2 linked regions of the Struthio camelus genome follow. The protein of the gene in region 1 interacts with the protein of each later gene in a biochemical or structural test. Links are inferred from orthologs where the notes say so. Each region holds a gene or a part of one and is shown in the gene's direction. Other genes may lie near its edges.

What was found.
Region 2: the proteins of COPB1 (region 1) and ARCN1 form a complex in vitro, tested with the Homo sapiens proteins (2 studies listed by BioGRID). The link is inferred for Struthio camelus from reciprocal best matches to the Homo sapiens genes COPB1 and ARCN1.

What each region holds. Positions count from the first base shown.
Region 1 is NC_090946.1:22,173,823-22,189,874, forward strand, and holds the start of COPB1 (coatomer subunit beta), read left to right. Parts: upstream 1-9,413; 5' UTR 9,414-9,677; intron 9,678-9,786; exon of another isoform or gene 9,787-10,059; intron 10,060-12,482; exon of another isoform or gene 12,483-12,607; intron 12,608-12,933; 5' UTR 12,934-12,997; coding exon 12,998-13,088; intron 13,089-13,766; coding exon 13,767-13,996; intron 13,997-14,787; coding exon 14,788-14,957; intron 14,958-15,693; coding exon 15,694-15,808; intron 15,809-16,052. Other genes in the region: PSMA1 (proteasome subunit alpha type-1), read left to right, coding at 1,755-1,856, 2,363-2,466, 3,329-3,417, 4,164-4,234, 5,347-5,476, 6,162-6,241, 7,225-7,329, 7,852-7,908. UniProt on the Homo sapiens protein: The coatomer is a cytosolic protein complex that binds to dilysine motifs and reversibly associates with Golgi non-clathrin-coated vesicles, which further mediate biosynthetic protein transport from the ER, via the Golgi up to the trans Golgi network.
Region 2 is NC_090963.1:338,480-354,854, reverse strand, and holds ARCN1 (coatomer subunit delta), read left to right. Parts: upstream 1-4,733; 5' UTR 4,734-4,860; coding exon 4,861-4,863; intron 4,864-6,167; coding exon 6,168-6,431; intron 6,432-7,199; coding exon 7,200-7,379; intron 7,380-7,621; coding exon 7,622-7,827; intron 7,828-8,622; coding exon 8,623-8,784; intron 8,785-9,572; coding exon 9,573-9,738; intron 9,739-11,181; coding exon 11,182-11,329; intron 11,330-11,700; coding exon 11,701-11,809; intron 11,810-11,974; coding exon 11,975-12,179; intron 12,180-13,166; coding exon 13,167-13,256; 3' UTR 13,257-15,048; downstream 15,049-16,375. Other genes in the region: IFT46 (intraflagellar transport protein 46 homolog), read right to left, coding at 394-479, 1,088-1,148, 1,426-1,492, 2,149-2,270, 2,709-2,837, 3,266-3,359, 3,480-3,554, 3,952-4,094 and 2 more. UniProt on the Homo sapiens protein: Component of the coatomer, a cytosolic protein complex that binds to dilysine motifs and reversibly associates with Golgi non-clathrin-coated vesicles, which further mediate biosynthetic protein transport from the ER, via the Golgi up to the trans Golgi network.

The sequences.
Region 1 (16,052 bases):
ACATTTCTTTACATAGCAAAGGTGTGTTCTGCTTGGTTGTATTCCATTGCTATGGCTATGTCTTTTTTTGCTGCTTTTTTTGCTGCTTTTTAAGCTCTTTAATGGATGCAGAAGGAACCTTAGATTTGTTGTTCCTTTTAATTCCAGTCATGCATGCTCAGCTTTATAAACTTCAGTGGCATGGATATGGAGGTTGCCAAAGAAGCGCAAACATGATGGACGTTATCTTTTCTAATCGTCTTCAGTTTTAGAGTTTGATTTTGAAATTTCTAGATTTCAGGTATTTATTATAGAATTAAAACAAATTATGTTAAAGCTTTGTTACTGATGTCTGTGTAATATCTGAAAAATTAGAAGGCAGAATTCAGTATCTAGGAATGGAACCCTGCATCCACATCTCATCCTTTTTAAATGGTTGTGTTTCTGTGGTGAATGTGGTATCAGAGACTTAAATTTTGAATTTTTTAGCAATCTGGTATAAAAATTATTTTAAAAAATATGACATTCTACTGAGATTTTTCAGTAGATATTAAGAAGTCATCAATAACATTTAACTACTAAACTTTTTCAGAAACGGCCTTGAAATTATGAAAAGTGCTAATGACTTTTTGTAAAAGACATTTAAAATTGCTGCTGTGCTGCAATTACTTCCCTACACCTTCCTGTAGTTGCAGTATGGCTGGGCTGCAGAGGCAGTGATACAATACCATAATAATTATTTTGGCTTTGTTAATACAGGAGCAAAGAATAATCATATTTTATTGGTGGGTGTTTTCTGATACATTTATAAGGAAAAGGAAATGCAAGATGAAAGGCTAGAAAGGGCTTCATGTTTTTTTGCAGCCGTCTAAGTAATTCATGACAGTTGATAAATATATATTGGACAGGTTATGGTGATTCCATAGTGTTCTTGGAGAGGAAATACCCAATATTATTGAAATTTCATCATTATCTTAGTGGATAAAGTGAAATGTAAGGGATGTTAAACATCTAGTGGATTTTATATTTCTCCAGATAAACCACATCAAAAACCCTTCCCTCCTCCTCCCCCCCCCCCCAAAAAAAAAGAAACCTCGGCACATGCCTACTCTAATAGCTCCAGCTGTGCGCTGTGTTTCAGTACAACATCACAACTGGTTTTATTTTAGCTGACCAACTAAAGTGTAGCAAATTACCTGCTTTGCCCTCAGTGGCAGCATTGAAAGGATGTGTTTTTTCCTGCAAAGCTGCTGACTTTTATAAAACTTAATTGTCTTTGAGACCTCTACTCCTCTTTCAGACTTTACTGCAATTGACTAATAGGTTCAGAAGTTATTAGGGAGAGGATGGTGAGACACAGCAATTGCTTAAGACTCATTTCTTTAGGAAACTAGAATAAAAGTGAGAATCCAGATTCAGCCAGAAGTTCCATCTTTGAATCACATTGGGTTAAATACTGGTTGCACTGAAGATGATGACAAAGTGTCACAGTTCTAATAATGCTTGGATTCACCCTTTCTTTTTAGTTGTCCTGCTTTTTTTTTTTTGTATGCTGTGGTGAGTGGCTAAGAGATGGCCAAAGTTAGGTAGGTTAATGGTAAGGAGTTTGCAAAAGGTAGTCACAGAGGTCTGTATATTGCTTGTAGGTTTAAATTACGTTATGCAGGCTTTGTATTTGTTTGGCAGGGGACTCAAAGGTCTATAAATCAAAAACTAGTGAAAATTGATATGGAGGCTTCATTTTAGACTGACAGTAGACTGATTTTATTCTCTAGGGGCGAATTCATCAAATTGAATATGCCATGGAAGCTGTGAAACAAGGCTCAGCTACTGTGGGGCTGAAATCAAAAACGCATGCTGTTCTGGTTGCTCTAAAGGTAACTTTAAAACTGTGTTCTGGGGACAGCAATGTTAGCAGAGTAGTTTTAGCTTGGGAAATTAGTTTTGTCCGGTCTGAACTTTTATGCTGTGTATAATGTACTTTGTAATCCCATTTTCCTTATGCTTGAATACCAGTGTAGAACTATACGTATTTTCAATACTTGTGCTAAACAGGTCTTCACAGATTGGTGGAGTGAAGGAAATTGGTGAAAGGTTTTTAACTCAAAAGCTAATTGGTCTTCTATTCTTTTCTTCAGTTATTAAGTAGTAAAACTACTTCTTTTCTGTCACAAAAGTTGAGTGAGTGTCCCTTCTTTCTTTCTTTCTGACAGTCTCCTATTGAAGTAGGATTAGATTTTTCTTGTTTTCTGTTACAAGTTTATAGCTTTATTATTATTGTTTCATGATCATATTCAGTTCTTGCCATAAATGCTAGTGGATTTCTTAACAGTGACTGGCAGTCTGTTCAGTCTGCCACATAGCTTTTTCTTTTCATGCATAGAGAGCACAGTCTGAGCTGGCAGCTCATCAGAAAAAAATCCTGTATGTTGACAACCATATTGGTATCTCAATTGCTGGACTTACTGCTGATGCAAGACTCCTGTGGTGAGTGTCTTAGTGGTTGACATATAGAGTTCTGCAATAATAATGAAGTGAAAGTTCATTTGTAGACTATTGCAAATGAGATTTTTATGATCAGCTAAGGATTAGTCTTGAGTTACTGCTCTCTTGTATTATGCCAAAGACCTCAGCAAGAAATTCTTTTTTTTTTTTTTTTTTAAGTCATTGGCAGAAATCTAATTTGTTTGGCCCAAAATTTTGCTCTTTGTTTTTGATACTAGTAAGAGAGTCCTCTGTCTGGTTTCCCCAGTGCGATGGGATTTCCAAGCAGCCTGAGAAAGGGTGTCACGTTTTTCCCTCTTGTAGATCCTTCTGTATACGTTTAAGAAAGTTACTAAAAACATACTGCTGTATACATAAGCTTCAGAGGAGTTTACCTTTTGTCTGCTGGATACAGAGTCTCAGGAGATGAGGTAAATGTCTCCTAGGAGGAGAGTTCCTCAGCTTTAGAGGGAAGGACAGAGAAGGTGTAGGAAGAATCTGAAAAAAAAAATCGCTGTTACAAAGAAATGAAAGAAATGTTGCCATCTACATGTGACTTTTTTTTTTTCCAGATGACCCTTCTATAGCCTGCATGAACTTCTACCTTCCCTTCATTTGTATTGCTGAAATAATACAATAATCTTTCAAGCCTGTGGTTAGTCTTCTAAATAACAATTATAGGTCATGATGAAATGAAATCATGTAGTGCCTTTGACCCTTTTTCTTAACAAGCAGAGCTGAAAAATATATTTTAACAGACAAATATTGAGACAAAATCTCATTGCGACTTTCACTATGCATTGGTTTGATTTTTTTTTTCCCCCTCTTTCCCCCCACCCCCCATTTCTGTGACCCCCTCACTCAGCAATTTCATGCGTCAGGAGTGCCTGGATTCCAGATTTGTGTTTGACAGACCTCTTCCAGTCTCTCGCTTAGTGTCACTAATTGGAAGCAGTATCCTTTTGTTTGTTTGTTTGTTTTGCACTTGTTAAACTTTTACAGTTTTTTTTTACACTTCTTCATACTTGTTCTTAAAATGTTTTTTATATATCACAACTTAAAATTAATTAACTTTATAAATTTAGCATGAAAGTTAGTTTCTCTTTATTCATACTGCTTGCTTGTCCTTTTAAAGTATACCTTGTAACACGCTGAATTGGTAGAAAAGCAACAAAGTGCTATGCAACATTTAACATGGTGCTGCTTTTTCTGTTACATAGCACTGCCTTTGGAGCGGAGCGGGGCGGGGGGGGGGGAAGATAACTACACGATTCAAGATATCATCACTTACTGGATTGCAGCGCAGCTACTCAGATTTACTCAGATTTTTTTCTGTGGCGGCTTTAGTTGTCTCTGCATGGAACACAATGGTGCCCTTGTATTCTGATATCAAGTGCCCACAAAACGTTCAAAGGGAAAAGAAATTAAATGAGGCTGCGCAGCGTTAAGTGAACTGTTTGTGTTACTTGGTTGAGTGCACCACTCACTTCTTTTGGGAAAGTTAGTTGCTAAATATTTTTTGGTGAAAAAGAGCTAGTGTTGGTATTCCAAATAAGCCCTGTGATCTATTTCTTCAAAGAAATTCCTGTTAGTGGGGGGGAAAAGCTGTATTACAACTTTGGTGCATCTCTGCTTGGCTTAGGAAAACGTTTTAGGTAATTAACATGTTTTCTTGAGAATGCTTCCTTAGCTTGCTTAAGAAACCCAGATACCAACGCAGCGTTATGGCAGAAGACCATATGGTGTTGGTCTGCTCATCGCAGGTTATGATGTAAGTATAGCGTGCCAGTTACTGTTGATGGAGAAAGAAAAAAAAAAAAAAAAAAGTGGTTAATTCACTTTTATACAAGTAAATGTTAAGAGGGACAGATAGAAGGAAGAGGCAAACTTGTCAAAATTCTGATTAAGGAATCATTTTCTGCATCTTACCCTAAAACATAACTTTTATAAGTTTTATAACTTTTATAAATGGTAATTGGTGGCTAATCCTACTTACACTTGTAAGGCATGCATTTGCAAAAATGAAAATATAATTATTTTAAGGTGCAAAATGAGATGCTGTAGCAGGACATGAATTTCAGAAGTGTTTGAAGGGAGGGATTCCTACACTGAAACACTATGAAAAAATGGATCTTCTGAAATGAAGTTGCAATGATCTTTGTGTTTTAATGTCACTTTGTGTTTCTGTGCAAAACTGCAAACAGTAGACTTGTTCATTTTTTCAGGGATCAAAATGTTAATGTTTATAAGCTGAAGTGAGTCTTTGATAGCGGTAATTATTTTACTAGTGGTTATGGATCTTTAACAAACTATTGTTTTTAAATACTCTAAATGGATGTGGAAAGCCTCACTGGACACACTCTTACTTGTTTTTCAAGAATAGTTTACTTACTATGGTACACAAAGAGAATCACTGCGCTGAAGATATTTCGCATGAAGAAGGTTGAAGGAAATGGGCAGCTTGCTTGAAATCTGGCATGACATGCTTAAATCTACAGCAGGTTTTTACACTTGCACAGATCAGACAGAACGTGTGTGAAATATTTAACTGCAAGCCATGAGGTGGGAAGCATATGTATGCATGGTACAGCTTATGGAACAGAGAAAGAAAGATTTTTGGTGCCTGCTATCCTACCTGCATAAAAATTATGTTTCAAATAACAAAGTATGAAGGAGGATTGTTGTTTGTTTGTTTATTTATTTATTTATTTAGAATAAGACTTGAAGCAATTGGTAAGAGCAATGGTATGATAAACAATATAAAATATATCTGTGCTTAGACATAAGCTATGTGATGTATCATGAAGCAAATCTTTGTTTTAGAAAAAAAAACATGTATTGTTTTTGTTTGTTTACTTGTTTGTTTGTTTTCCCTTTTGGTAGGATATGGGTCCTCACATCTTCCAGACCTGTCCTTCTGCAAACTATTTTGACTGTAAAGCAATGTCCATTGGTGCTCGTTCACAGTCAGCTCGAACTTACTTGGAGAGGCACATGACTGAGTTTACTGACTGTGAGTAATGAAACTCTGTCTATCTGATGGTCTTCATCAGTTGCACAGTTTTTTTTCGTGCTATTGCTCCATCCTTTTGTGTTTAGTAAAATGGGAAGATAAACTTTGGGAGCCAAGTTTAGTGTAAGTGTAAATCTGCATGAAGACAATAATTGTAAAGAATACATTACAAATCTTCATTTCTAACATCTGGATTTTTGTTAGATCTAATGAAAAAGAAGTTTCTGTTCAGAGGCTGAGAAAAAAGTACAAAGTCTCCATCCTGTGTAACTCAGGGAAAGAGCAATTCTTTGTATTACAGAGAAGGCATAATATTTCAGGATGAGTCTCTAGGTTGTGGATTTAAAATCGCAAATTTGTTTTTATATGAAAGTTATTTGGAGGCTACTGTGTGTCTGGTTGGGGAAAAAATAGCTTGAGTATCACTGCACTGAAGACAATGCAGGTGCCAAAAATGGATGCATTTGGCCTGAAGTGTAAGGAAAGGCTCACTTCTTGAAGTATACTTTGATAACCAACTCTATATTCAGTACCGGAAATACATAAGGAGCGCAGTTCTGGAAGTCAAAATAGCCAGGTTGATTTTTCTAGTTGTCAACTGGGAATAGGAGGAAGGGCAAAAGAGTCTCAAGAGACTCAACTGTATTATTTCGTAAATGTCTTTCTAATTGCGTTTAATTTGTAGGTAATCTAAATGAGCTAGTTAAGCATGGACTGCGTGCCCTGAGAGAGACTCTTCCTGCTGAACAAGATCTGACCACCAAGGTAAATACTAGGATGTTTTTGTTTTGTTTTTGTTTGTTTTTGTGTGTTTAAGAAGAAATTTTACTGCCATTGTTATTAGAAATTGCTATGACAAAATTAATGTAAAGTATGACTGGCACTGAAATTTGGAAGCCAAATAGTGGTGGAGAGCGTCATCTCCATTTCATATGTGACAACTTTACCTACAGCTTCATCTGTAATTTTTTTTTGTTTGTTTGCTTACCATAATAAAATGATACTTTTGTCTAAGTAAGGCATCATTTTCCTGGCTGCTTGCGTAAAATATTCTATTTTAAGGTTTGATCAGTGTTTAAGATGCATTGAACACAACTGGATCATCACTTTGCTTTGTAAGCCCAATCAGCAATTGGAAAGGACTGGAAAGGAAGGGGGGAGTTGCCCCTTCAGTCAGAGCACAGCTATGCAAACAGTTGATTGAGCATCCAATACCAAAAAGATGCAAAGCCTCTGCCAGGAAATATGAACTGACCAGCTCTTGAACAAGAAACTTCTAAGCAGATCTCTTACCAAAAGTTAGTGTTATGTTTGTGGCTGATCTGCCCTTATCTGTGTTTAAGATTTTTACTCTTAGCCCATCTTGTTTTGTTAGAACTTTTACGATAAGGAAAAGGGAGGGGGGAAAAAAAAGATGAGAATCAGTGATTTTGAAAAATCAGGTATTTGTTATTTAAAATAAAAAATAGAAATTGAAATCATTGAATAGTGATTTTACTGGTAAGATCTCAAAGCATGATAGCTTTTGTAGGGAATAAATCTCCCTCTCTGCCTCCCTTTCCTTTTCTAGTACAACCTACCAAAAAGGGAATCTCGGAATTCCTCTCTTCCTTAAGTAGACACAATAGCAAAGTGAATCCCTTTATCACAGGAGGAAACTTAATGGCTTTACAGTTTTCACTTGTGAAACAGATTCAAGTTATTTGCAGAAAAACGTGTCTTACTTCTTTCAAAATTTTCCTTAACAGAATGTTTCCATTGGAATTGTGGGCAAAGACATGGAGTTTACCATCTATGATGATGATGACGTAGCACCATTCCTAGAAGGTCTTGAGGAGAGACCACAGAGAAAGGTTTGTGTTTTATATACAAATAAAGAGGCTTTGGTGAAAGGCAACATTTTGTGATGTATGACCTATTATGTTTAGGACATTTAGCTTTCTTAGTGTAGTAGGGTTTTAGGTATGCAGTTTTAAAATTTGACATTGCTACATGAAAACAGGAGGCAACATATCATCTTTGTCTAAAGACTGAAGCTGGAGGCTAAGCTGCTTATTAAATCAGTTTACGATAAATTGGCAGAAGGCTTTTCCAATGTCTTCATCTTCTTTCCTTATTTAAGATTACTTTTTTTCACTTTCTTGTAGCAGAAGTGGCTACATATGTTCCTGGTGTCTGTCCCAAGATGCCTCCTCAAGTCTTCTAATTACCAGCTCTATCCTTCTCCATGCTTGATTTATATAATACTGCTTGTAAGCTATTTGTTTATGTGAGCTACTTTTACCACTTGTGATACTCAATCTAGTGTAAAGCGGATATGCTAGGTACTGTTTTCTTCCCTTCTATAATATGTTTTTTTTTTTCTTCTCTTTAAGCCTGCTCCGCCCGCTGATGAACCTGCGGAAAAGGCAGAGGAGCCCATGGAGCACTAGTTGATGGATGAATTCTGCTGTGTGTTTACCTATGTATAATTATACAGGAACATATATCCATCTGCTGGTAACCTTTCTCCTGACCTATATGCGTCTTCTACTGACACATTCTGAGGATTACGCTATAAAAACAAACAAACAAACTAGCCCATCTATCCTTAAATGGTAGGATAGTTGGACATATTTTCTTTGACAAGAAAGGTGTTACCATTTTCTAAATAGTGCACAATACTGTTTTTTTAATGAAAAGCATACTGTCTTTAACTTGTAAGGACAAGTGGAAATAAATCTTTCTTGGAATGTACTGTTCATTTTTTTTTAAATCTGAAGAAATAGCTACTCAAATACTACTTTCATACAATCAATGTGCTATCAAGATGCAATCATGTACTATTTGTCACATTGAAACAGTAACTGATTTGTGAGCCCTCGGTTGCTTTATATAAATATAGTGCTCATGAAGTATTGCACTGACAGGACTTTGAATCCCTCTATTTACAAAGTAGTCCTAGAACATGTAGGATGCATCAAGCTTCCGCCTGTTTTATTGTGGTTGTCTCACTCGTGACTTGGACAGACATTTCTAATTATGAGTGTTTACTGGAATTATTGCAGACAGAATAAGCATGAAGCTGCCAGTAAGCTTTTTCAGTTGTGTTTTTTAATAAACCTCAGGTCTTTCAAAACTGAAATGAATGACTTCATTTCTTTAGGGCCATCAAACAGCCATCAGGTAGCCAAGGGCTTTTTTAGCTCACTAATGCATGCGCTACATGTAAGTAATGATGGAAACATATTAAATTGCCCTTTCAGGTCCCCTGACTTATCTAGTCTCTGTATTCCTTCTTGGTTTTGTCACTTTGGTTTGTGCTATAGAGTCTACCCAAGGACTCTGTTTAGTGACAGCTTGGATTTAAGTTCAATGTCACAAAATTTGATTGCATTTGCAATGCAATATGCACATATTGCATTTTCTGTACTCCATTGCTATTAGTGATCAGCTTCAATGAAGATTTTTCTTCCAAGTGTCATGCACGCACATCATGCGAACGTTAGACACTTTAATTGGGTTTTATTACACTAATAGCAGTTGAAGTGAGAAGAGTAATTTCCCATTTATAGCAGTGGCAGCAGTCTTACTGAAAAGAGATTTCTTTAGCGATGTCTCCGAGGGAAGCCCGTGTTTCAGGTAGAGATGCAAAAGACATTTGAAGCTACAGTGTGATAAACAAAGTGAATTTGGCGTTGTTTTTCCATTGTAAACGTCCGATGCATGTATTGATGTAGAAGCGGGGCAGGCTGAAGGAGCCCGGCCTGGCCTTCGCCTGCCCCCGTGCTGCCTGCCACCGTGCCACCTGCCCAGGCTGTCGCAGTGGACGTGCTTAGCTCTGCAGCGTCACCCTATGGTGCATATGACGTCACGGCGCTGACGCAATGGCGAGCGGGCCCCGGCCGGCCGCGCGCTCCTCGCTCCCCTCCCCCCGGCCTTCCGCCCGCGCTTCCTAGCGAGCAAGCGGTGACGTCAGAGGGGCAAGGCCCTCCCCCGAGCCGTGACGCAGCACCGCCCCGCCCCGCCCCGTCCGCGTTCTTGTGCGAGGGGAGGTGTGTCCCGCTGGGGCCGCCGTACCATCGATGTGGCCCGAGGAGGGAGCGGCTCCACGTCAGCCATCGCCGGAGCGGGTCGCGCCACTGCCGGGAGCCGCTGCCGCCGCCGCCGCGGGCCGCGCCGGACCGCGCCGCCACGCCACGCCACGCACCACACCAGCTGGGTGCGCAGCCCGCGCGGGACAGCGCTTATGGCGCGCGGAGCCCGCCCCACGGCGCCTCGGGCCCGGCGGCCTCGCCGGGGCGGGGGTCGCGAGCCGCGGGGCGGCCGTTGGGGGGGGGGCGGGCGGCCGTTAGGGCCGTTGCGGGGCCGCGGCCCTTCCCCCTACTCCGCGGGACCCCTCGGCTCGCGGCCGGCCGGGGCCTTCCTGGGCAGGCGGCCTGAGGGCCGCAGCCGGCAGTGCCGTTAGCGGCGCTGAAAGGGAGCAGCGAGCCCCTGTCCCGCGGCTCGGGGCTTCCTCGGCCGTGTGTGTGCTGGGGGGGGTGCGGCCTCCCCGGGGAAGGGGGGGGTTGCTGGCGTGTCTCGGAAGTTTTTTCAGGGGAACGGTAAGGAAAAGAATAAAAACCAAACGTTTTAACTTTTAAGTCATAGTTAATTGTGCGAGGTGTTTCGGGCAAGAATTAGTCGCTTGGAAAAGCGAGGAGAGAATCCCTTGTGATGTGGCTATGATCCTCTAAACTTACTCCGGGTTACTTTAATACAAGTTTGTGTGTTGTGTTTCCCAGGTGATGCAGAGGTGAAATGATGCATTGTTAGGGTTTTGCTCGATAAGGTATCTCCTTAACGTCTTGTGTCAGTGTTCTGTAATTCAGAGGTCTTTAGCTCTGTTCTACAAAGCTGAGTGAAAATAGCTGAATACAAAAATTTAGATTCCGGAGATATTAATAGCCAAAGCTTAAAATAAAACTCTGTCGTTGTAATTCTGCCAGCACCGTAACTGATGTTTAACTTCTGTGGGGATTCATTTGCTTCTTAAGGACGTTGTAGCTGGAGAGTAGGCATGTTCTCTTTGCCTCCTTGTACGTGCGTTGGAAACTGTGTTACTCTGGATTTCCATATACAAGTGTGGGTGTTTTCCAGTTTTATTGCTGGGAAAGTAGAGTAGCATCTGCTTTCTCCTTATCTGGGGTATTCTTGGTAAGATCAAATTTTGAATGGGAAGATGCTGGTTCCAAGGCTTGATGCTTCTCTGTGAGGAAGAACTGGTTGTTCCTGCTGCCCAGTCTCCCAGCTCTGTATTTTAAGAATTTCCCTTCACTGCTGCTTTTTAGAGCCTAAGAAATGGGTCTGTGTTTTCCTCGTTTAGAGATCTGTTTTGCCGTGATTTTGAAGGAGTTTCTGCAGTTGGACTCTTTCTACCTGCTTTTTTCACAACTGTATTTTATTATCTGCTTGATGAAGTTGATAGAAATGAAGATGCTAGTTGCAGAGCTTTGGGGCAAGAGCTCTGGCCAAGGGAATGGGATAGAGGGAAAGAGCTGCTGGTGAAGCAAGAATTTTCTTGTTTCTGAAAAATGCTAGAATTGATTTATGTAGCCATTTGTAGAGGAAACAATGAGCTTGGAGGATCTAATCCTTAAAAGCATAACAGAAAGAGGCTTTTTAAAAAATGTTGTGTTAGAACCCTTTTTTTGTAGTAGCAGAATTTGTGATACTGTTCTAATTGTGTTCTTTTCTTGTAGCTTGGGAGCAGTGGTGCTTTTTACTCAAACCTGTGAGCCTCTGAGGCAAAAAAAAAAAGGCTACAGCCCAAGTTAGCACAGCTTCCCTACTCACTGTTTAGGCTGAGATTCTTCAGCTGACCATTTGATAAGAAAAGGGACTTTGGTTGCAGTATCAGCTTGTGGAGTTACTCAGCCATTCGTTCAGACACTGCAACTCCTTGGCCCACTTTGCCTCTTCTTTTTTTGGAGAAGCAGACTGGGAATGGATGTAGGGTTTTTGTTCTCCCTTGTTCTTACTATTTTAAAAGTAAAGTAAGGGTGGTGGATTTACAGGGTTCACATCTCAAGAGTTGCCTCAGCACAGGTGAAGAGGTGATGTGGGGTAGGAACTAATATCCCAGGCAGTAACTTCTTAAACTGGCATGTTATTGAAGGCATGGTGTCATGGAGCTATAACCCTGCTCAGGCTTATCCAACTTCAGAGGATTCTTTTAAGTGTTGAAAGCAAACTGCAGTGAAAGTGTAACCCTAAATTGGAGAGTTTAGTGTTTTGATCTGTCATGCAAATCTCAGCCTGTGACAGAGATAGTTTAGTTCACTTGGCCCTGTTATTAATTAATAGCAATAATTACATAAAGCAAGTGTGTATTTTTATACGTATACATAGTATCATACTTTAAAGTAAAAAGCCATTTTCCCTGTTTTAATGATTTGTTAGCCTCAGTCTAAACTTCAAGACAATTAACTATAGTAAATGTAGAATGTGCGTACAAAGTAGTTTCTTCTCTGAACTTCTGTAGAAAATACAGAATTCACCAAGTAATGAAAACTAATAATTTTTTTTACTCTGCATTTCCGTATGGTACTGTAGTGAGTAGTAAGTGAGCAAGCTCAAACTGGAGTGTTTTCCATTATTTAGGAAATGGAATTAAAAAAAAAAAAGTAATCCCAAAATTCTATTGTAAAAGGAAGTGACAAGCAAAGAAAATGAAGATTTAAGTTAATGGTTCATTTTGTTATCTGAACTGTCCGCCACACAGCACCTTTAGTGGACCTGTAATCCTCTAGTACTTCTTCTTCATGCAAATACTTTCCTCCTATTGGTGACTAGAGGATCAGTTGCGCTGAGTTGAGCTGTTCTAATGATTTTTAGCAGATAACACGGTGGTCCTACTTTCCTCTCCGTCATGTCCTCCCTTCTCCCGTCCTTGGTTTCTGCTCTGTTGGATTTCACGCTCATCTTCAAAGCTTCCTTCATGGGCTGATTCAACTTGTTATATAAGAAGGAAACTCTTCCCTTTTTTGGTTGTGGTGTTCTTCAGGTTTTTTTTGCAGGTTGAGTCAAAGGTTGAGCCCTTGCGCTCTGGTGCCCTGGCGGGCCACAGACGTGCAAGGAAAACAGTGGGAACGGATAGCCAGGACCAGAGGGGTGAGTAGAAGAGGGAAAAGCTGCTGCATCCATTCAGTGGCAATCAGGTGTCCATATGCTTCAGTCCTCTCTAACTGTACCCTAAGTATCGGAAAGATTTCTTTTGATTTACTTTTTTTGGCCAGTTACTTTGGGAAATTTCATATTCTTACATCATTTTAGGTTAACAGGAACATTTAGTGTAATAAAACATTGAGAAGGCTTTTGAATGTGATTTTTCGAGAAACCCAACAATTTGTTGAAATCATAAAGTTGCAAAAACACCTTTGTGCTGTTTGTTAATAAAATCTGTTAACTTTGGGGTGGTTTTGTTTGCTTGTTTTTAGATTGTCTTGATATTTGTCAGACAAAGCAATTCTTCCCTTGAGAAAACATTTGTAACCGAGAACAATGACTGCTGCAGAGAACGTGTGTTACACGTTAATCAATGTTCCAATGGATTCGGAGCCACCTTCTGAAATCAGCTTAAAAAATGACCTAGGCAAGTAATGAGCTATGATTTGAAGGTTACTCAGTCATACCCGAGTTATGTTCACTTTCTCTCATTATACGTTTCCTAGAATACTGTTTATATTGTATAAAAATCAAACTGACTTGCTGGAGTTTACTTTGTTGACTTCTGAAATGTATAAATTCCTCTCTTCACTGTGCTTTGAGAAATACGTCGTGGTATTTATCTACATACTGTGTGACTTCCTCCCCCTACCCCGCTCTGTGCAAAAATTCAAAATGTGTTTCTATCTTTCTGTTTGAAGTATGTTCAGATTTACGTAATGCAGTGATATAAATCTCTTTATCGCTTGTTCAGTGCATTACTGTATCTTGCTTGCAGAAGTGCCAGTGTTAGTTTTTAATGTGTCTCTAACATCACAGTGCCTCATAGTATCCTGGTATAAAATGCTGTTTAGTGGCAAAATTTGTTAAACTCAGTTAATTGGAATATGTTAATCTGCAATTAGATCTGAATTTTGGGCTTGCTCTTTAACTATTCCCTGATAACTAAGGGGATGAATTTTATTGGTAATGTTATATTGCACCCCATATGAGGGAGTTGGTATCTTCTGACATCAAAAATTAGTATTATTAGGTTTTAAAACTCTGACTTTCTGATTTCATAATTACTATGATTTGCATTCTTGAATTTTTCTATCCTTTCTAGAAAAAGGAGATGTCAAGTTGAAGACGGAAGCTTTGAAGAAAGTAATCATTATGATTCTAAATGGTGAAAAACTACCTGGGCTTCTGATGACCATTATACGTTTTGTACTGCCTCTTCAAGATCATACCATCAAAAAACTGCTTCTGGTCTTTTGGGAAATAGTTCCAAAGACCACTCCAGATGGGAGACTTTTGCAAGAAATGATCCTTGTATGCGATGCATATAGGAAGGTAGCCTGTTTATTGCTTATGGTCACGTGCTGGATCGTTGTATAAAGTATATCATTTTGCATTACTTTTCTAAGTATATATAGATATACATATATGGTATATGCTCAGTGTTTGCTTCCTAAGTGCTTTGTCTCGCTGTTTCAGAGCTGGATAGCTTTTAGATAACTAACAAAGTTATTATCAAGGAATTTTTACGTGTTCATTTACTATTATTACTAAAGAAAGATTTAGTACTTTTACTTTCCAAGTTGGTGAACTTCAAAGAGGAAAGGTGACTACTCTCTCCACAGTGTCTTGGGACAAGCCTTCTTTCTAAAAAGAAGCACATTACTTTTGGAATACCTTAACTGTAGTCTGTTTGTGACACTGCTTCACAAAGATAATATCGTTCCGCAAGTTCTGTGGGAATTGATGGGAAGCAGGTGAATGTTAATTCAGTATATTCACTGGAGATTAGTGTCCATTGTGCAGGAATGCCTGCAGTGTGAGCTTCCACAGCTTGAGTCATCAGAGGAAAATGTACACAATGCAACAATCCCCCCCTCCCCCCCCCAGCTCTCCACCCCCAAATTTTATAAAGTTCATTACACAGAAATACTTTTTTTTAAAGATTGTGGCACAGCAGTGTTTTAAGAAGGTATTTCATGAGAAGACAGTGAGATGTCCTTGTTGATATTTGGGATTTGTACCATGGAAAGAATTGGTGTGGGAAAAGGCTAGGAAGTGCATTCATCTGAACTTAACTAGGTTGTAGAGTCTGGCGTTTCAGATATGCTTCTTATTTATTTTAGGATCTTCAGCACCCAAATGAATTTATCCGAGGCTCTACTCTTCGTTTTCTTTGTAAGCTGAAGGAAGCAGAATTATTGGAGCCTTTGATGCCAGCCATTCGTGCATGTTTAGAACATCGTCACAGCTATGTGCGCAGAAATGCAGTTCTGGCAATTTACACAATTTATAGGTAAATGCCAGAAACTGTTTACAGCTTTAGAGGCAGAAGACCAAGGCTAACTTTGCTGACGTAGATAGTTTCGGAGATCTCATAAATGCCTAGCAAGGACAGCAATATAAGTCATTGTTAATTGGGGGGGGGGGGTGCGGTGGGGGGGAAAGAAAGGAGGGAGTTTGGTGTGTGTGTGTTGTGTTGTGTTTTGTTTTTGTTTTCTTCCCTCCTCTATCTGATAAACTTCTTTGGAAAAGTGAAAGGTATTGCTGTTGCTTTTTCAAGTATGACTGAGGTCCTCCTGCTGCAGGATAATTTGTGTGGGCAAATACCTTTCTTAATGATATAAGCATTAATAGTAATGGTTGTCCACACAACTATAAGCACAGAAGAATCTTTACAGGAATATGGATATATTTTATTTATTTGAAGTGAGACATTCTTCGTGTAATAATTTACTGCAGTTACATCCTGAAGCATTGTTGCAGTTGCTTACCTAAACAGTATGAATGCTACCATTAAACCAAAATCACTGGTGGGATATCATCTTAGCTGTCACGATAGCAAACAATTTTTTCATTTAAGCTCCTTGGATCTGTTCACGGTTTCAAATAACTACGCAAAAGCTATGTTTCATGACTTGTTTTATGCTTTTTTTTTTTTTTTTTAAACACTTGTCTGGAAGATATGCAATTAAGCTTTAGGCTCTGCCCTTTGATAATAGTCTTTTTAATTGTGATTTCTTTTTTTAAAGAAATTTTGAACATCTTATACCTGATGCTCCTGAATTGATCCATGATTTCTTGGTGAATGAGAAGGATGCAAGCTGCAAAAGAAATGCGTTTATGATGCTAATTCACGCAGATCAGGTAAGGATACTTGTTCTTTAACTCATTTGATTTAAGTATTTGAAAACTTACTTGTCGGTAAACTAAGATATTACTGAGTAAAATAAACACAGTTTAATTATCTGTTAAAACTATGAACAAGAAATAAAGAAATTTGAAGTAAGAATCAGAGCAGTACCTACATTTGAAGTTGGAAAAGATCTTGGAATGGAAGCTATTAAAAATTTAGTTGAAGATACTCTACCCAGTGGAATACCTACCACTA
Region 2 (16,375 bases), on another chromosome or scaffold:
TGAAAACACAAGCCCCTTTCCCTCTGTATGACCTGTGCGGTCAGCAGCTGCCTAGCACCTTGTGTTGGCCTCTGAGGTTTCCAACCTAGTTCTGTCCAAGCGCCTGTGTGTGCTTGGCACAGTCACTGTGACTTCACTGGGAAAAACATTCTGGACTTATGCTGGACTGTTAAACAATGCTGCATCCCAGCCCTGTGGTAAATCAGATCAAGATCAACATCGTTTCTCTGAGATATTAGGAAAAAGAGAAGCTTTGAAAATGTTCTTTGGGCCCCTTTCACGTTGGCCTGTTAGCAGTTTGCAAATGCACACAGTGTAGCAAGGCCAGATTTAAGGACAGAAGTTTTGTAATGCTCCCAGCTGGGTGACTGGGGCCTGGTTGGAGTCGCTTACCTGTGAGTTCTTGAATTCCGAGTAGAGCGAGAAGAGGACGTGCAGAGGCTGGATCCGACTCTTGTACACAGGGATGTCCAGAATGGCTACAAACAAATACCAGAAATGCACGAGAGCACCTGGGCTGTACTTCTGTGCAGACAGTGCTGTAAGTACAGGTTGACCTTCTCACTGCCTCCCGTTGCTTGGGCCTTTGCTCATCAAAGACCACACATGTCTTTGGCACAAGAGTCCACTTCCCGCTGAAGGCAGATGAAAACAGTCTTGACTTTTCAGGGCTGAGACTGCATCTACATAAGCCTCTTGCTTTTAGTAACACAGTGCTGGGCTAGCTGCACACTTGTGTCTTCAGCAGTCAGTGGTGCACAGGACTGGAGCTGGTCTGTCCTGAATATGCAGAAGGACCTAGAAGTACTGGACTGCTTTTTTTCCCATCTAAACACTTGGCACAGGAGGGGAGTTCTCTGATCAGTCTGATCGGCCTGCTCAGCAGAGTAGACAGAACCTAAGCCCCTGAATGAGGAATAGCGCCGAGCTAATAACTGCCTGAGACATCCTCTAGAGACCAGCATGAGACAATGTTGTACCTCACAGTATCTTTTAAAGCTTCACGTTTCTATTTTCTGCCAGTTTCTGGGCTAGAGACAATCAGATGCCTTCAAATGAGGGTAAGAAAGGGCTATCCTCTGCTTACCACATATCATGTCGATGTACTCAGCCAGGCCACAGTTTATCTCTGCAGTTGGGAGGCCCACCTAGAACAGAGGAGGCTGTCAGCTCTGTTCACATTAGAGCCTGAGCACAGGCGCTAACGATAGGCCCAGCACAGAGGCTACCTGGGCCGTTCCTGGGAATTTAGGCTTTAGGCTGCTCCCCTGTCTCTTGGTAAGGGAGAAGGGGTAGGTGAGGAACAAACCTGAACCGAGCAGGCTACAGGCGAAGTGGTCAAAGTGGAACAGAAACCTAGATTACATGCAAGAAGGTTACTAAAATCACGCACTGAGCTAACTACTCATCACTTGGACAACGTACCTTTCCTAAGAGCTCTTCAAATTCTGGTAACCATTCCTGCATGAGAGTTTCAATGTCAGGCATTGGTCTGCAAGGGGAGAAAAAAAACGCCTACTTCAGGATTATATGCAGACAATGGAAATGGTTTCCTACTGCCAGACTCGTATAAATGGGACAGCTTCTGTCTTGTCCAGTTGTGGGAAAGCGTAGCGTGTCTGTGGAGCATCAGTTTGGGCATTTTTATTTAAGAAACCAAGACTAAGCTTTGAAGGTGCAACATCTGTGCTTGGCACTGCGGCTAAAGGAAGACGCTGGAAACAGCATATCCTTTGGAGGGAGGTTGGACAGTTCCAAATTATGAGTTTGGGCAGAAGGGAGTGCCACAACAGCTGAGAAATGAATCAGGACATGGTAATAATAGCCTTGCCTCCTCTGATTTATCCAGGTTTTCCCGCTTTTGTGGAAACTCACTGTGTGCACGAAGTTGCAAGTTAGATGTCCTAGCTGTTGAATTAATTCAAGTTACACAGGGAAAGAGGAGGACAGAGGGGGAAGCGAGTGTCCTGCATACACAGGTTGTATGACTGCCCTGTAAAGCCAGAAATGCCTTCTCCCTCTTAGCGACACTTGGATAGTTCCACTCAGCACTCCTAGGCTCTGCAACTAGCCTTCCCCTGACCCAATTTTATACTAGACAAGTATGTGCAGCTGCTAGTGTAAAGGAGAGCTGGTGTAATGACTCACCTGGTGTAATGGACCGTGGCAGGGGGTTTGCAACGATGCAGCTCACTGATACTTTCGATCCAGCTGTCAATGGCTTTGGGGTTCTTTTCTGCGTTCTCTATACTCTTCACTTTTATCTGCTGCTGAAACCAAAAATATGAACCTGGAAACACATTGTAGTTTTTTTTTTTTTTTTTTTTTTTTGCAAACCCTGTGTTCACTCCTGATTGAACTGTGCATTTGCTCTTTCCTAGCTGCACTATGCCAAGTGGTTTCTGCAGACAGAAGAGGAGCTGGGAAACAAAATGCTGAGTAAAACCATGTAGTGACAAACAAAAGGAAACAAAATTTCAGCTGAAGGAAACAAATAGATCCAATGTCTGTACCAAGACTTGCCTGAAGCAAAGTTTTAGATGCATTTCAGCCTAAAGGTGGGAAAGATATTTTTTTTTCCTTCTGTTTGTAAAGCCAAGTTATCAGTTTTGCTGCAACACTGTATTCATGCAGTCACAAGAGTAAAAGTAACATGTAATTTTTTTTCTGTGGTGCGCAGTAATGTCTCCTCTCCCCTCACAACTCACTGTGATGTTGTGCTGTTTGGAATTTTCTTTTAACCAAAGAGAGAGCACTGTGGGATCTGACTGCTTTGTAGATGGCTCATCTAGGACCAGCAGGCCAAGGTTATCAGGTTTGCCATCTGGACGTGGAACCTGCAGATAAACAGAGAACCTGTTTTCTGTGCAACTCCAGAGGAGGAGAAGCAGGGGCTATTCCGTGTAGACCTTCTGTGTCACTCAATCTTCAGACTGTAAAAGCAAGTGGTAGGCCAGCTATTTTGAAAAAGCAAATGTATGAGTTGTCATTACAGCAGCACCTGAAATGCACAAGGCGTTGGACAAAGCAAGGTGCAGCCATTACCTCAAAGGAGGTATGCTTTGCTCTGCAAGGTCACGGAGCTGACCACACCAGTCGCAATCAGTTGGAGTGTGATTTCCTAGGTCTCTAGTACTTTACTTCCTACCTCTCAGAGCAAGGGTAGCTCTCTGCTGCACAGCCTGACTGTCAAAATCACAGCAATGCCACATACTCTTTCAGCACGTGCAGCAGGAGATAGAGAGGTACCTGAAAAACTGTGTACCTTTAAGAATGCATCAATGTCTCCAACAGCAGGAATGAAGTCGGGAATGAAAGGCTGCAGTTTGTGCTCAATTTGTATTATTTGGGGAGTGTACCTGAAAAACAAACACACAGACACACATGCACACGCAGTGCAGGTGCCTATGAAATTACCTGCAGAATTTACCATTAACACAAAGGAGAGTCAAACGCAGGCTAAAACTCCTTCAGCTCACCTCCTTATATATTCAAAGAGTTCTTTAATTTCAGTAGATACTGGCAGATAGTCATAGTCTGCTGGATTGTAGGCACTAGGGAAAGGAAGGGACGTTCAGATGAAGAGTAAATTACAGTAGGTTCTGTACAAGCACACTAAAGGGAGAAAGACAAGAACCTGGATCCAGCTGTACAACACAATTACAAAGGAATTCATAATAGCCAGTCCTCTCTCAGAAGAAACGTCTTGTAACGTTCACAAGAGTTCCTGCATGTGCTAACAGTACCCAGCTGATTTTTGCCATAGGCATCCCAGCCAAAGAAGCCCCTCAATGACGGGGAGTTAGTTTGTCGAGTTATTTAAAGAAGCGGCGATGACAGAACAGTTATGCTTGGCGGACGTGCCAAGGGGGTAGATGATCTGCCAAAAGGCAGTCGGTGGGCAAAGGGGGGGGGGGCGGTTTGGGGGCGGGAGCATAGCGGTGCCCTTACCCCGCCAGCGGGGCGCCGCGCTCCTCCTCCTCCTCCTCGTCGGCCGAGTCGCTCTCGGAGCTCTCGTCGTCGTCGTCGTCATCCTCGTCGCCGTCGTCCTCGTCCTCGCTGGGGGCGGCGGCGGGGCGCGGTCCCGCCTGCTCCTGGGCGGGAGGACCGGGCCTGGCCTCACCTCACCTCACCGCGCCGGGCCGGGCCGGGCCCGCCCGCCGCCGCCGCGCCTACCTTGCCGCCGCCCTCCTCGTCGCTGCTGCGGCCGGGCCGCGCCCGCGGGGCTCCGCCGCCCGCCCAGCCCGGCCCCGGCCCGCGGCGGCCCCGGCGGCGCCCGGCCGGCGGCGAGCGGGCCCCGGGCGGCCGCCCCGCCGCGCCGCCCGCCTCCTCGGCCTCGGGCAGCTCCAGGCTCTCGTCGTACGGCTGGTCCTCGACGAGGCGGGTCTAGGCGGAGGGGCGGGCTGAGGCGGCGCGGCCCGGCCCGGCCCGGCCCCGCCAGCCGCCCCGCCGCCTGCTCACCTCCAGCGCCCGCGCCTCCGCCATGGCCCCCGCGCGCCGCGCCGTCGCCATGGCGACCGGCTGGCGCGACGCCTCGCCTCGCTAGCCGGCCGCAGCTAGAGCGGCCCGCCGGGCGCCCGGCCGGCCGGCCTCTATGGTCACGCAGCGCCTGCCCTCGGCGCTCCCTGCAGGGCCAGCGGCGCGCGGCAGGGAAGGGGCACCCGCCGCGCCCCGAGGGCGGGGCGGGGGGCGGGGGGCGGGGGGCGGAGTCTCCTCGGGCCCCGCCCCGCCGCGCCGTGCGTGGCGCCGCTTCCGGCTGGGGACGTGGCTCGGCGCCGCCATCTTGTGGGGCTGCCCGAGGAGACGCGGGCGGTGCGGAGCAGCGAGCGGGAGCCCAGCGCCGCCGCCGCCGCCGCCGCCATGGTGAGGGCCGCCGGGCACCACCCCGCCCCGCCCCGCGCGGAGCCAGCCGCGGGGGCCGCCGCCGGGCGCGCAAGGCCGGGCCGGGCCGGGCCGGGCCGGGCCGCGGCGGGAGGAGGTGCCCGGCAGCGGCCGGGCCGCGGGGGGCGGTGGCGCGGCCTGGGGCAGCCGGGCCGCTGGGGAGCGGGCCGGGCCGGGCGGGGGCCGCGGGCCGCGGGCGGGCTCCGGGAGCGGGGGGCACTCGCACAGAGCTGCGGTGCTGGTGACGGGGGCGCCCGGCCGCCCAACCCTGGCTGCTGCCCGGGGGAGGCTTGATCAGCTTCATTTTAAAGGTCGCTTAGGCTGTCACATCCGCCGGTTCTGGCAAGGCCTCGTGGTTTCTAGCACCGGCGTGTACCGCCAGGCTCCGGAGGCGGCCGGTCAGCCCCTCTCGTCCTCAGGCAGCGTGCAGCTCCGAGCTTTTCCTCTGCTGGAGCAAATCTTGTGCCTTGTTTCCCATCCGTAGCGTCGTTTCTCTCAGCAGAGACTGCCGTACTCTCTGCTGCTGGGCTGCCTCGTGAAAGAGGAGACCTGCCTGTTAGGAGCACGGTGTGAATGCTGGGTGCAAGTTGGCCCTCTTGTGAGACCTCCTACGGGGCAGTTACACAATGGAAGCTTGCTTCTGGCCTGTTCGCGTCAGGACCCGTTTGTCCCTGGGTTGTCAAGCTACAGAGCCCCTAGGGCAGTCCAGAAACAGTTTGACAGTTTTATCAGAGCATCCAAATGTCTCACCTGGCCATACGCAGAGCACTGTTACCCTGAGTGTCAGGTGGGGCTTTAAATCAGCTTGCGTTTGATAGCTGCTAGTACATGCTTCGTTATTAGAGAGCTGTAAATAGACAACGGTTGGGGATTTAAAAGATTTTAGCTGCCGAAAATGCCTTATGTTGACTAAATTAAAAAGCTTATCTTCCTTGAGGAGGAACTTCAGAAGGGAGCCTTGGTAGTCTTGAGAGAATCAGAGAATGTAAATGGGCGGTTACCTCCGTGCCTTTGTATTGTTGGTACGGTAACATGTATGAAACGCCCAGGAGGGTCACCCACGTGCTGTAATCGATATAGCTTTCCGTATTTTGTTAACGTGACTTTACTGTAGATGTGGCATTGAGGAGAAACATCACGTTGCAAAACAGTCCTGTGTTTAATGTTAGTTGGAAACTATCCCCTCTTTGGGCAAGTAATTGCGTGTTGGACTTGCAGAGACCTCGTGGTGTCAGAGACCTGCTCCCTGAAGGGTGCAGCTGACTGGATGTTTGGACTCTCCCCAGGTGCTACTGGCGGCAGCCGTCTGCACAAAGGCGGGGAAGGCCATTGTCTCACGGCAGTTCGTGGAGATGACTCGGACCCGCATCGAGGGGCTGCTGGCAGCTTTCCCGAAACTCATGAACACTGGGAAGCAGCACACTTTTGTGGAAACAGAGAGCGTGCGGTATGTATATCAGCCAATGGAGAAGCTCTACATGGTGCTGATCACCACCAAAAACAGCAACATCCTGGAAGACCTAGAAACACTCCGACTTTTCTCCAGAGTGGTAAGGATCTACACTTCAGATCCCTGTATGCCAAGTTCATGTAAATGTAGCCTGAAACAATGCTATTATAAGGGAACCTGCTGGTGAGTTATTACTGAAGTGCTGTCTGCCTCCATCTCTACAGATTTTCATTTTCTAGAGCCTGTTCCTGACATGGAAGTAGGTAGTGATCTTGATCTTGTAAGTTTCTGTAATATTTTTGAGTTACAGAAAATTTTAGAAAATTTTCGGTTGTAGTTTAAGTTGTGAGACTGAAGGGATGGCGCTACAGTAAATTTAGCATGAAATATTTGCTGTATTCTTAAGACAACACCTGTACTCCTTCCAAAAAACAAAATAACGTGACATTACAGCATGTGATTACTGCAAGTATAACACTACTTTCAAGGCGTTTCTAAGTAGCATGTTTGTGCAGATGTCTCTATGTTAATTTTATAACCTGTTTCTGTCATATACAGCCAGAGGACCTTCAGGAAGTTCTCTAGCTGTGCAGTGTTTGTTTGCGTAAGTTTCTGTGAGTTACAATGTTGCGAAGTTAAGAGGTTGTCTAAATATTTTGAGTTAGGAAAAAATAACGTAAATAGTATGGCAAAACTTCATCCTGTTGTTTATCAACAGCAGAGAGGAACATTAAGGAGCTCAGTAGCATGCAGGTCTTGTGGGGGATCTAGCACAAATTTGACGTCTGGGCATAACAGAAAGAAAACGTTAAAACGTATTGGCGTCTGTTTCTATGAAGACTCTTTTTACGTGTTTTTCCCTCCCTAGATCCCTGAATATTGTCGAGCTCTGGAGGAGAATGAGATCTCTGAACACTGCTTTGACCTGATTTTTGCTTTTGATGAAATTGTTGCCCTGGGCTACCGTGAGAACGTAAACTTGGCACAAATACGGACCTTCACTGAGATGGACTCACACGAAGAAAAAGTGTTCCGAGCTGTCCGAGAGGTGAGCTGAAGTAATTTCAAGTTTGGTATTCCCTGTCTGGGAAAGGCTGCATTGTAATGAAAAAACGTTATTCCGCTTTGATACGGGTCTTAACGTCGCTTTGCTTCTCTCTAAGCTAAATGTTTACCTTTTGTTTTCTTTTCCTTCACAATGGCTTTACAAGCAAATCAGCCTAGTTTTACTTGCTGTGTGGCACAGACTGAGATCCCAAAGCTCTATCAGCCTTTTATCTTCCCCTTCAGACTCAGGAACGCGAGGCAAAAGCTGAGATGCGCCGTAAAGCAAAGGAGTTGCAGCAGGCCAGGAGGGATGCAGAGAGACAGGGCAAAAAGGCACCAGGTTTTGGTGGCTTTGGTAGTTCAGCTGTGTCTGGAGGCACAACTGCAGCGATGATCACGGAGACCATCATTGAAACAGAGAAGCCCAAAGTGGCACCAGCGCCTGCCAGGTACGTGTGTAGTAGGTAGCGAATGGTCCTTGGAGTTAGCACTGGCTGAAAACTCTGTGCCCAAATAAAAGGTTTCAGTTCTCCTTCCCCAGCGGCTTAATTTTCTTGTCGCTTTAATATTTTTGATAAAGAGGGGCACTAAAATAACTGGCCTGCCTTGGTGCATAAGGGAGCAGTCCTCTGTGGACTGTACGCTGGTGGCGTCTGCCAGTTTGGTGGGGTTTGGCCAGGTTGGCACTATGTTCTGGAGGTCAAGAGCTTTGTCTTCCTTGCTCCTGCAAAAAACGTGCAACTCTCTAATTATGGCTTATTTGTGTAGCCCTCCCATTGGGTTACCGTCCTTGCTGATACGGTCAAGCCACTCCCCTTAATTTTGCTGGCATGTGTTTGTTGACCTCTAAGCCTTTAACGTGCGTGCTTACAGACCAGTATGTGTTACGTGGTCTTTAGACCAGCCTGTTGTTGTTTAAGAGCGTTTATGATACGTGGTCACTGTAGCATCTGAGCATCTCATAGTATAAAATCCTTGAAGGGCAGTGCGCTTCTCATTTTGTGTCTGAGAATATGAGGGTACCAGGTACTGGTAGTACTGGGAACGGAATCCAGATCTACTTTGTAATCTATTGTCCTACGTACGAGACCATCTGTCGTATACTTGGTACGCCCTGAAAAAGGCTGCAAAGGCGAATGTGGCAATGCGGGGATAGTCCAGTTGTAATAATGCATGATAGCTGAGGAAGGATGAATCTCTTGCCATAAACTGACTTGGAGATGCTTATGCTTTTTGTCCTTTAGGCCCTCAGGTCCTAGTAAAGCTCTGAAACTTGGAGCTAAAGGGAAGGAGGTGGACAACTTTGTGGACAAGCTGAAATCGGAAGGAGAAAATATCATGACTTCTGTAGGCAAACGCTCCGCAGAAGCAGCCAAAGTTCTTGCTCCTCCCGTTAACATGGAGAGGTAGGTATTGTCCTTGCTTTGAAAGCAGTGTTCTTACAGTTATCTGTATGATCCCGATGTTGCTTAAAGAGCTATCAGAAATCTTCCTCCTTGGTTTTCGGAATGGGCTTTTTCCTCCTGTTAGTCTTGTGTGCTGATCTGGTATGTTAATTGTAAAAGGTCATGGGCAAAATCTTAGAAAGCACATAGGGGGGGAAAAAAAAAAAAGCCAGATAGCTCATTTGATTAGACACTGCTTTAATTAAAAAGGGATGTACATCCATTGCTTAGCTGAGATTGGAGATTTTCCTTTGCTTTTTGGAACGCTGCTCTCTTTCCTGATGTTTTGCCTTCAGATGAGGTAATGTAGCTGCTATTTTTTCTATTCCCCAGACACAAAGACTTCCTGTCTAATTGTGCCATAGGATACAAGTAGTCATAGTTTGTTTTTCATGCAGCAATTCAGCACCTTTACAGCAGCTTGCCTCATGGGAGTAAAATTAAAGGGATTTTCAGTGAACAGCATAGCAAGATGCTATATCATTATTGTTTATCTGGACTTCAGTTTATTCCGGACTTGTATCTGCAGATCATTGCGCGCCCCCCCCCCCCCCCCCCCCCCCAGTTAACCTCCCAGAGCAGTGTTGCTGTGTGCGTCTGTTGTGCTGTCCATGCTATTCCATTTGAGGCTATCGCAGTCTTTTGAGCACCTGTTCAGTATACAGCCTGTCCTTGCTGAATGCTAATCTCCCATCCTGTCTGTTAGATGCCAAGTGTGGGACTTGAGATACTGCTTTTTTTCTGTCTAGTGTGCACATGAAAATAGAAGAAAAAATTTCCTTGACCTGTGGCCGTGATGGAGGGTTACAGAACATGGAGCTGCATGGCATGATCGTACTGCACATCTCTGATGAAAAGTTTGCACGGATTCGCCTCCATGTAGAAAACGAAGACAAGAGGGGAGTGCAGCTACAGGTAAAGGCTGTTTGGTGTTCCATGCTGCTGAACACGCTTTTGCTGCTCTCCAGGGCAAAATGTGGGAACTGCTTCAGTGCATGCCACTGTACTACGCTCTTGTCTAAGCCTTCTCAGCAAATGCATTGGAAATACCAGTGGTCATTGCAGACACTACTGCAGCATAAACATAGGGCCAGCTCTCAGCAAATGCATTGAAAGTGCCAGTAGTTGTTGCAGATGCTACTGCAGCGTAAAGATAGGGCCAGCTCATGCTGAAAAGATTAAAGTTCAATTGAAAAGTCCAGGCTCATGCTTATCTTCATACCTTCAGAGCCTTATCTGTCTGCTGATGCACATTGGCAAGCCACCTTATTTCACTTGGACTTTGCAGCAGTCTGGTGTGTTGCTTGATGCTAGTTGTATCATGTTGGCTTTAGCTGTGGAGCAGGAGTGTTAAAAATGAAGTTACTGTGCCAATGAAGAATGAATTTATTATCTAGAAAGCTGTTTCCTCACTGGTCACTTGTGTTCTGCCATTGCTGTAAGTATCGAAAGCAATTGCCAGAGCTGGAGCCCTTGGTTACAGTTAGTACTATAACCTCAGAAGATTCTTGGAGAGATGTTCTTCCCTTTCTTCCTTTGTATTTCTGTTACCTTACTGAGCTCTGAAGACTGTTTTGCTTTGATATGCTGCGTTGCTCCATCCTTCCTCAGGCCAAGAACTGATCTGTACTTAGCTGGCTGCAGGTCTGTTGGTAAGGTATTAGGTTGCTTATCAGCTCATCTCATAAACAAGTTCTGAACAGTACTCCCACGTGTGCTGCTTCAGGGGGAAGATTAAATCAAACCCAGTCTTGGCTCCTGTCTTTCTAGCGTAACGTGAACGTTAACTAACAAAAATCCTTTGCTTTTAAAAAGCTGCTCACCTTTGATGCTGCAATGAGAGCGTATTTAAATGGAGTTTGGCTGCCATCATTTGGGTTAGTATAGGCATAAAGGCTGCTGATAGAAGTAGTGCTCTTGTGGTTTCAAGGTGTTCTTCCAGGTAGCGTGAGGTTGAAACGTTTTAGGAGGCCACTTTTTCTTCAAGAGCGAATGCTTTTAAAACATTATTTGAGATTTTAAGAGTCATTACAGTTTTTCTGTAACTACCAGCCCTGGACTCCCCTTGCTAGAGTGTCTGGGCTAAATTGCAGGTAAAAATTCCAGTGACGTGGATTTTTCTTAATGTATCAACGTTTGCTGGAAAGAATTTTAGGTTGATAAGCAGATGTGGTCCGTGATAAGCAGATGTGGTCCAGTAGGGCTTCTGAGCAGGGAACAATGAAAAGGTGCGTTTTCTAGGGGAAAATATTCAGGGACGCGTAGGGCCATCACCTGAGTTATCTCCGTACAGTTCTGTCCCAGGGCTTAAAATTAGCACAGTGGCAGGCACAGTCTGGGCATATGTTCCCGTTTCAGACTCACCCAAACGTGGACAAGAAGCTCTTCACTGCAGAATCGCAGATTGGTTTGAAGAACCCAGAGAAATCATTCCCTATTAACAGTGATGTGGGTGTGCTGAAATGGAGGTTGCAAACCACAGAAGAGTCCTTCATTCCGCTGACAAGTGAGTTCAAGCGTGCCTGTGGCCTTTTGTACGTGGCCTGGGGAGCTTGGGCAGAAGAAGCTGGTCTTCAGCCGCAGGTTGCCCACTTGTACCCTGCCTTGCAGAAGTGCAGCTGGCTCTGGAGTGTGATATGTTGTGAGACCACCAGAGTGCAGAGGTGGGAAGACCTGTGTTTGTCTTCCGTTTAGATAGTACCTGTTCGCACTAGTGTCCTGTTTTCAGTAATGCCCTCAAATAACAGCTTTTTCTTGTTCTTCAAGTCAGAATTTCTCGGTGATAACTGTGCTGTGGTTTTGAAGCGCGTTAGTTTTTGAACACCTCTTTCACTTGCAAAGATTGCATGGGTCAGCATACTGTTTTTGTGCCCTCAGTTAACTGCTGGCCATCAGAAAGTGGGAACAATTGTGACGTTAACATCGAATATGAATTGCAAGAGGAAAGCCTAGAACTGAACGACGTGATCATCACAATCCCTTTGCCGTAAGTAGCGTTCCGCGTACGTGCAAAGCTGACAAGCGCCTTCCCGTATCCTGTCAGTTCCTTTCCTTTCCTGGTTTGTAGGTCTGGCTCATGCCTGTGGCCTTGACAAACATACCCTTAGCTATAGACAGATAAGCTATTGTAGCTCCTTGTTGCCTGCTCTAGGTCTGGTGTCGGTGCCCCAGTGATTGGGGAGATTGATGGCGAGTATCGCCACGATAGCCGGAGAAATCTCCTTGAGTGGTGCCTGCCAGTGATAGATGCCAAAAACAAGAGCGGCAGCCTGGAATTCAGCATAGCAGGGCAGCCAAACGACTTCTTCCCAGTGCAAGTCTCCTTTGTCTCCAAAAAGAACTATTGCAACATACAGGTATGGTCACAGCTGGTGCAGGACTTGCTCTGAAAGAGCCGAAAGTTCTGGGGGTGCTTGCAGAACATGCTGTTGCTGTTTCATGCTAATAACGTTGAGGGGAGCTGCCCTTAGCCTGCCTGGCTACGTTTGTGGCGTCTGCTTACCTGTGCCGCTGACGTTCTTTAGATGTCTGCCCTATTGTGCTGTCGTCTTCTCTAGAGAGGTGACAGAGAGATAGGCCGTCTTCTTCCTCAAGGACAGCTCTTTGTCACAGTGCTGTGCTCTCCTCTTGCTTTGCTCTTATTCTCTGTGAATCTGAAATTGCCCCTTCCTCTGCCTCCCAGCTGGTCTGAGTGAAAGAGTAGGCAACACTAAAGAAGACGGCCTTGCAGGCCCAGTGCTTCACAATGTGAATCTTACCTCTTTCAAGCTACCTCAGGTCGTTCTTTGGCTGAAAACTGCCATGGTGGGACATAGGGTACGAGGTGAGTGCGCCGCTGTCCCACTTAGCGAGGGCTTAGGCATTAGTATTAAGATGATGTTTTTAGCTGGATTCGTTGGTGCCAGCGAACAGTTCTGCTAACTGCAGCTTCCTAGAACTTGCCCGCAGTTTGAGTTGTGCCTTCGTGTCTCTTCTAAATAATGAGTTGCCCTCAAACTTATGTTAGAGAATCTATCGACCTTGCAGGCAAAAAGACTTCTCAGCGTACGGCTCTTTGTTTATCCTCCGTTGAACTGTAGCTCGCAAGTGCTTAACTCTTTGCAGGCTGCTTTAAGGAGACACGCAGTTATTGTAAAGGTTGGACATAAGTGTTGTCTTTCCCCTGTTCTCAGGTTTCCTGGGAACAAAGATCGATCTTGCAGTACCGACTTGTGGTTCAAAGTGATGGGCTAATTTTATCCTTGTGACTGTCTCAAGAGCTAATCGGAAAGTTCTGCTTAGCTGTGTGTGATTTGGGAGTACAGTGCTAAATGCTGAACTAACTGTGTGTGTTATCTCCACAGGTTACCAAAGTGACCCAGGTAGATGGGAACAGTCCTGTAAGGTTTTCTACTGAGACCACCTTCCTGGTGGACAAGTATGAAATCCTGTAATGCCAGCTATGGGGAATCGCAAAGGAAAATTTTAAATTAAAAAAAAAAAAAAATAAGAGGCCGAAGTTTATTCTGAATGTCTGGAACGCCGCAGCCCTCTCTCTGCTAAGACACATGGCTCTATCTGCCATCTGCAGTGTTCCTGGGTCACAGACATTTTTTGGCAGAGTATTGACACGATCGTGGGGAGAAAGGCTGCAAATTTCTTTGGTAGATTTTTACTGGCCAGCAGAAAAGCAAGATCTCCGCAGAGAACCCGGCTTTGACACTTCCCCTTCTTCTCGCACGAAGCTGACTAGAGCTCAGTCCCAGAGCGTGCTAGACATTACTCTCCCTTTTTTAAGCTTCACGCACTCTGTGTTGTTGGTGCTGCCATGTTAATTTCTCCTCTGCCTTCAACTTGTGTTTCTATTGATGAAAGCAGGCGTTAAGATAATAAGCACAAGGGCATTTTGTTTCACTGGACCCTTCTGTCTGGTAGAAGTGGGACAAGTTGGCTCTGATTCCCAAGGTGGGGATTGTGGCAGGAGTGTGGGGGGAGGAGGGAGTCATAGCTCAGATGTTCAGTCCTTTTGCCTCTGCGCCATCACAATGGTGAACCTATGTTTGGGCTTATCAGGAGGCCTGCAGGCATCCTGTTTGGTGTGGTTAGATAAGGGTGGGCTTCTAGGGAGCAGAGACTGCACTTCTGAATTCTCTTGTTGCTGCTGCGACCCATGGCCCGTGTCAGGGTCCGCTGTCTATTGCGAAAGCTCTCGGGCCAGCTTTTTAAAGCGGTTTCATTCATTTAGAACCATCTGTGTATCCTGACTTGAGCCGCTTGAGTTTCTTGGTAAGTTGAACCACTTTGCCTGTTGGCGTGCAGACCTATAAACAGATATAAACAGATGTGGAGACTGGTTTATTCAGCCCGTGCGCAGATTGGAAGTTCTGTTAGGACCTGCCTGAAACTAGTGTTTTTTTCTCAGCCCTTTGCAACGGAGAGGGAAGAAATGCTAGTTTCCAGAGTATGTGCTGAACTGATCTGACCTTTGTGGAGCACGAACAGCCCCCGAGTGTGCTGTTTTGCCGTCGCAGAGATTTTCTTCCTCTGACTGCCTGGATAGCACTATTTACTTCCTCCCACAGAACTGAGCTCTCTTCAAAATTCATCTTGTCCATTTGATTCAGGGCCTGTCACCGAGTGGTCGGTGGTCCCAGCCTGACTCCCGCTGGGCTGTAACTGGCCAACCAAATGATGTCGTGCTGCTGACAGTTGCTGCTGTAGGAAGGGCTGCTGGTTCTGAGCAGTGTGAGAGTCAGGCCACAGTGAAAAGCAAACAGCCTCCTGTCCTCAGAAGTCCTAAAAACTCATGTACTGCACTCCAAGGAGAGTACTTCCACGAGAATAAGTGTGTATCAGTTCCCACAGGGCCATCTGCCAAAGAAGTTAGCAGTCTCTCCTCTGTTAATAGTACACACCAGTGAGGAAATAAACCCTTACTCTTTTCATGGGAGGGTGGCGTGTTCGGAGGGAAGGGAAGCAAACCCTGTTCTGTAGTGAAGTAGACAATGAATCCTATTAATTCAGTTGCGTTCAAGAGTTGCTTGTCTGTATGATTTTAAAATGGAGTCGAGTTTAGTTCAGACATCAAAGGAGCGTTTTTCTTAAATTTCAAGGGTGATATTAAAAAAAAAAAAAAACCTCAGTTTTTGTAACCCTGTACAATAATGGCCTAGGGAATAGAACACATTCCAGTGTATACAAAGAATACAAATTCTTTAATCAAATAAAGAGTATTATAAAAGGAAACTGGCTGAGATTCTTCTGGCTTGGTTAGATTTTTCACAATATGTATGTGCCATAGAGGACAAGGCAGATGGTATCAGACCAATGCAAAAGAAGCGGGAATCATATGAGCAGAATTTCAGTCTTGTTTGCTTTTGACTTTGTGCAGGTTGCGTTTTCCTGTAATAGTTCCAGAGCTGCTTGAAACAAGCATCTGAACGGGCTCTTGCCCTGTTCTATTAGGGTGAGCTTTGGCAGCTTGTGCTGCTCAAACTTTAAATCCAGAACTGGAGACAGAAGGAGCACATTTAAAATATGAGGAAAATTAGAGCGCTTTCGTATTAGTATTCAGGTGTGACCGCAGGAACATTGTTGAGCTTCTTGTCTGGATGCGCCCTGGTACTGAATGCCGAACTGCCTTCCAGCAAAGCTGCTTGCACCAGAACTAGCAGTGGTGATTCTTGGAGCTAAGAGCAACTTAAAAATCTTGTGTATCGCAATGGTTTTTGGTAAATGGTAGAGTTAGTGGGCTGTATTTGCTATTGCACAAGTTCTGGTTTGTGTTTAAAACCACAGAAACGAGTGAAAGCAAAGTTAGAGATAGCTGGATGTTAGCTGTGCGTTACAGGTACAGGTGAGCGTGTCTCCCTTGCTCTAAGGTGAGCTAGTCCCAGGGCAACGCGACACTGACTTAGCCCATTCCTTCCACTTCTTACTTCATCGCTGTTCTTTCCCCGTTCCCCCGAGTTACGGTCAAGACCTGGTTTCCCTGTACATGTCTTGGCTCACGTTTCGCAGCGCGCCGATGTAGGTCTGCAAGAAAGGGTTGGGTTTTGGCCGAGTACGTAGCGCAGCCCGTCTTTGCGCAGCGCCCGGTCCTGCTGTGAGCTGGAGCCCGCTCTGAAGATTTCCTGCTCGGCCTCGGGAGCGCTCCGGGCTCTCGGCTCTGCCTTTGCGTCGGGGGCGAAGGGGCGCCGTTTCCCCGGCCACCCCGGGAGGAGCCGGCGGCTGGGGTGCCGCGCACCGGGGTCTCCCAGCCTGGGCCGCCCGCAGCTCCGGGGCCGGGGGCAGCAGCCCTGCGGGCCGGGCCGGGCCGGGGCGGAGCGGGGCACGGCGCCGCCCGGACCCAGCGGAGCGCAGCGCAGCGCAGCGGAGGTGAGGTGAGGGCAGTGCAGACGGCAGGGCCGGGCAGGGCAGGGGGGAGCCCGGGCGGCGGGGCAGCACGGGGCGCCGCTCCCACGGCTGAGCGGGGCCGCGGACCCCGGGGAGGTGGCGCTTTGGCCCGGGCCCGCCTGTCCCGGAACGACACCGTCCGGCGGGAGCGGCAGCGGGGGGAGCGGCCGGCCGGCCG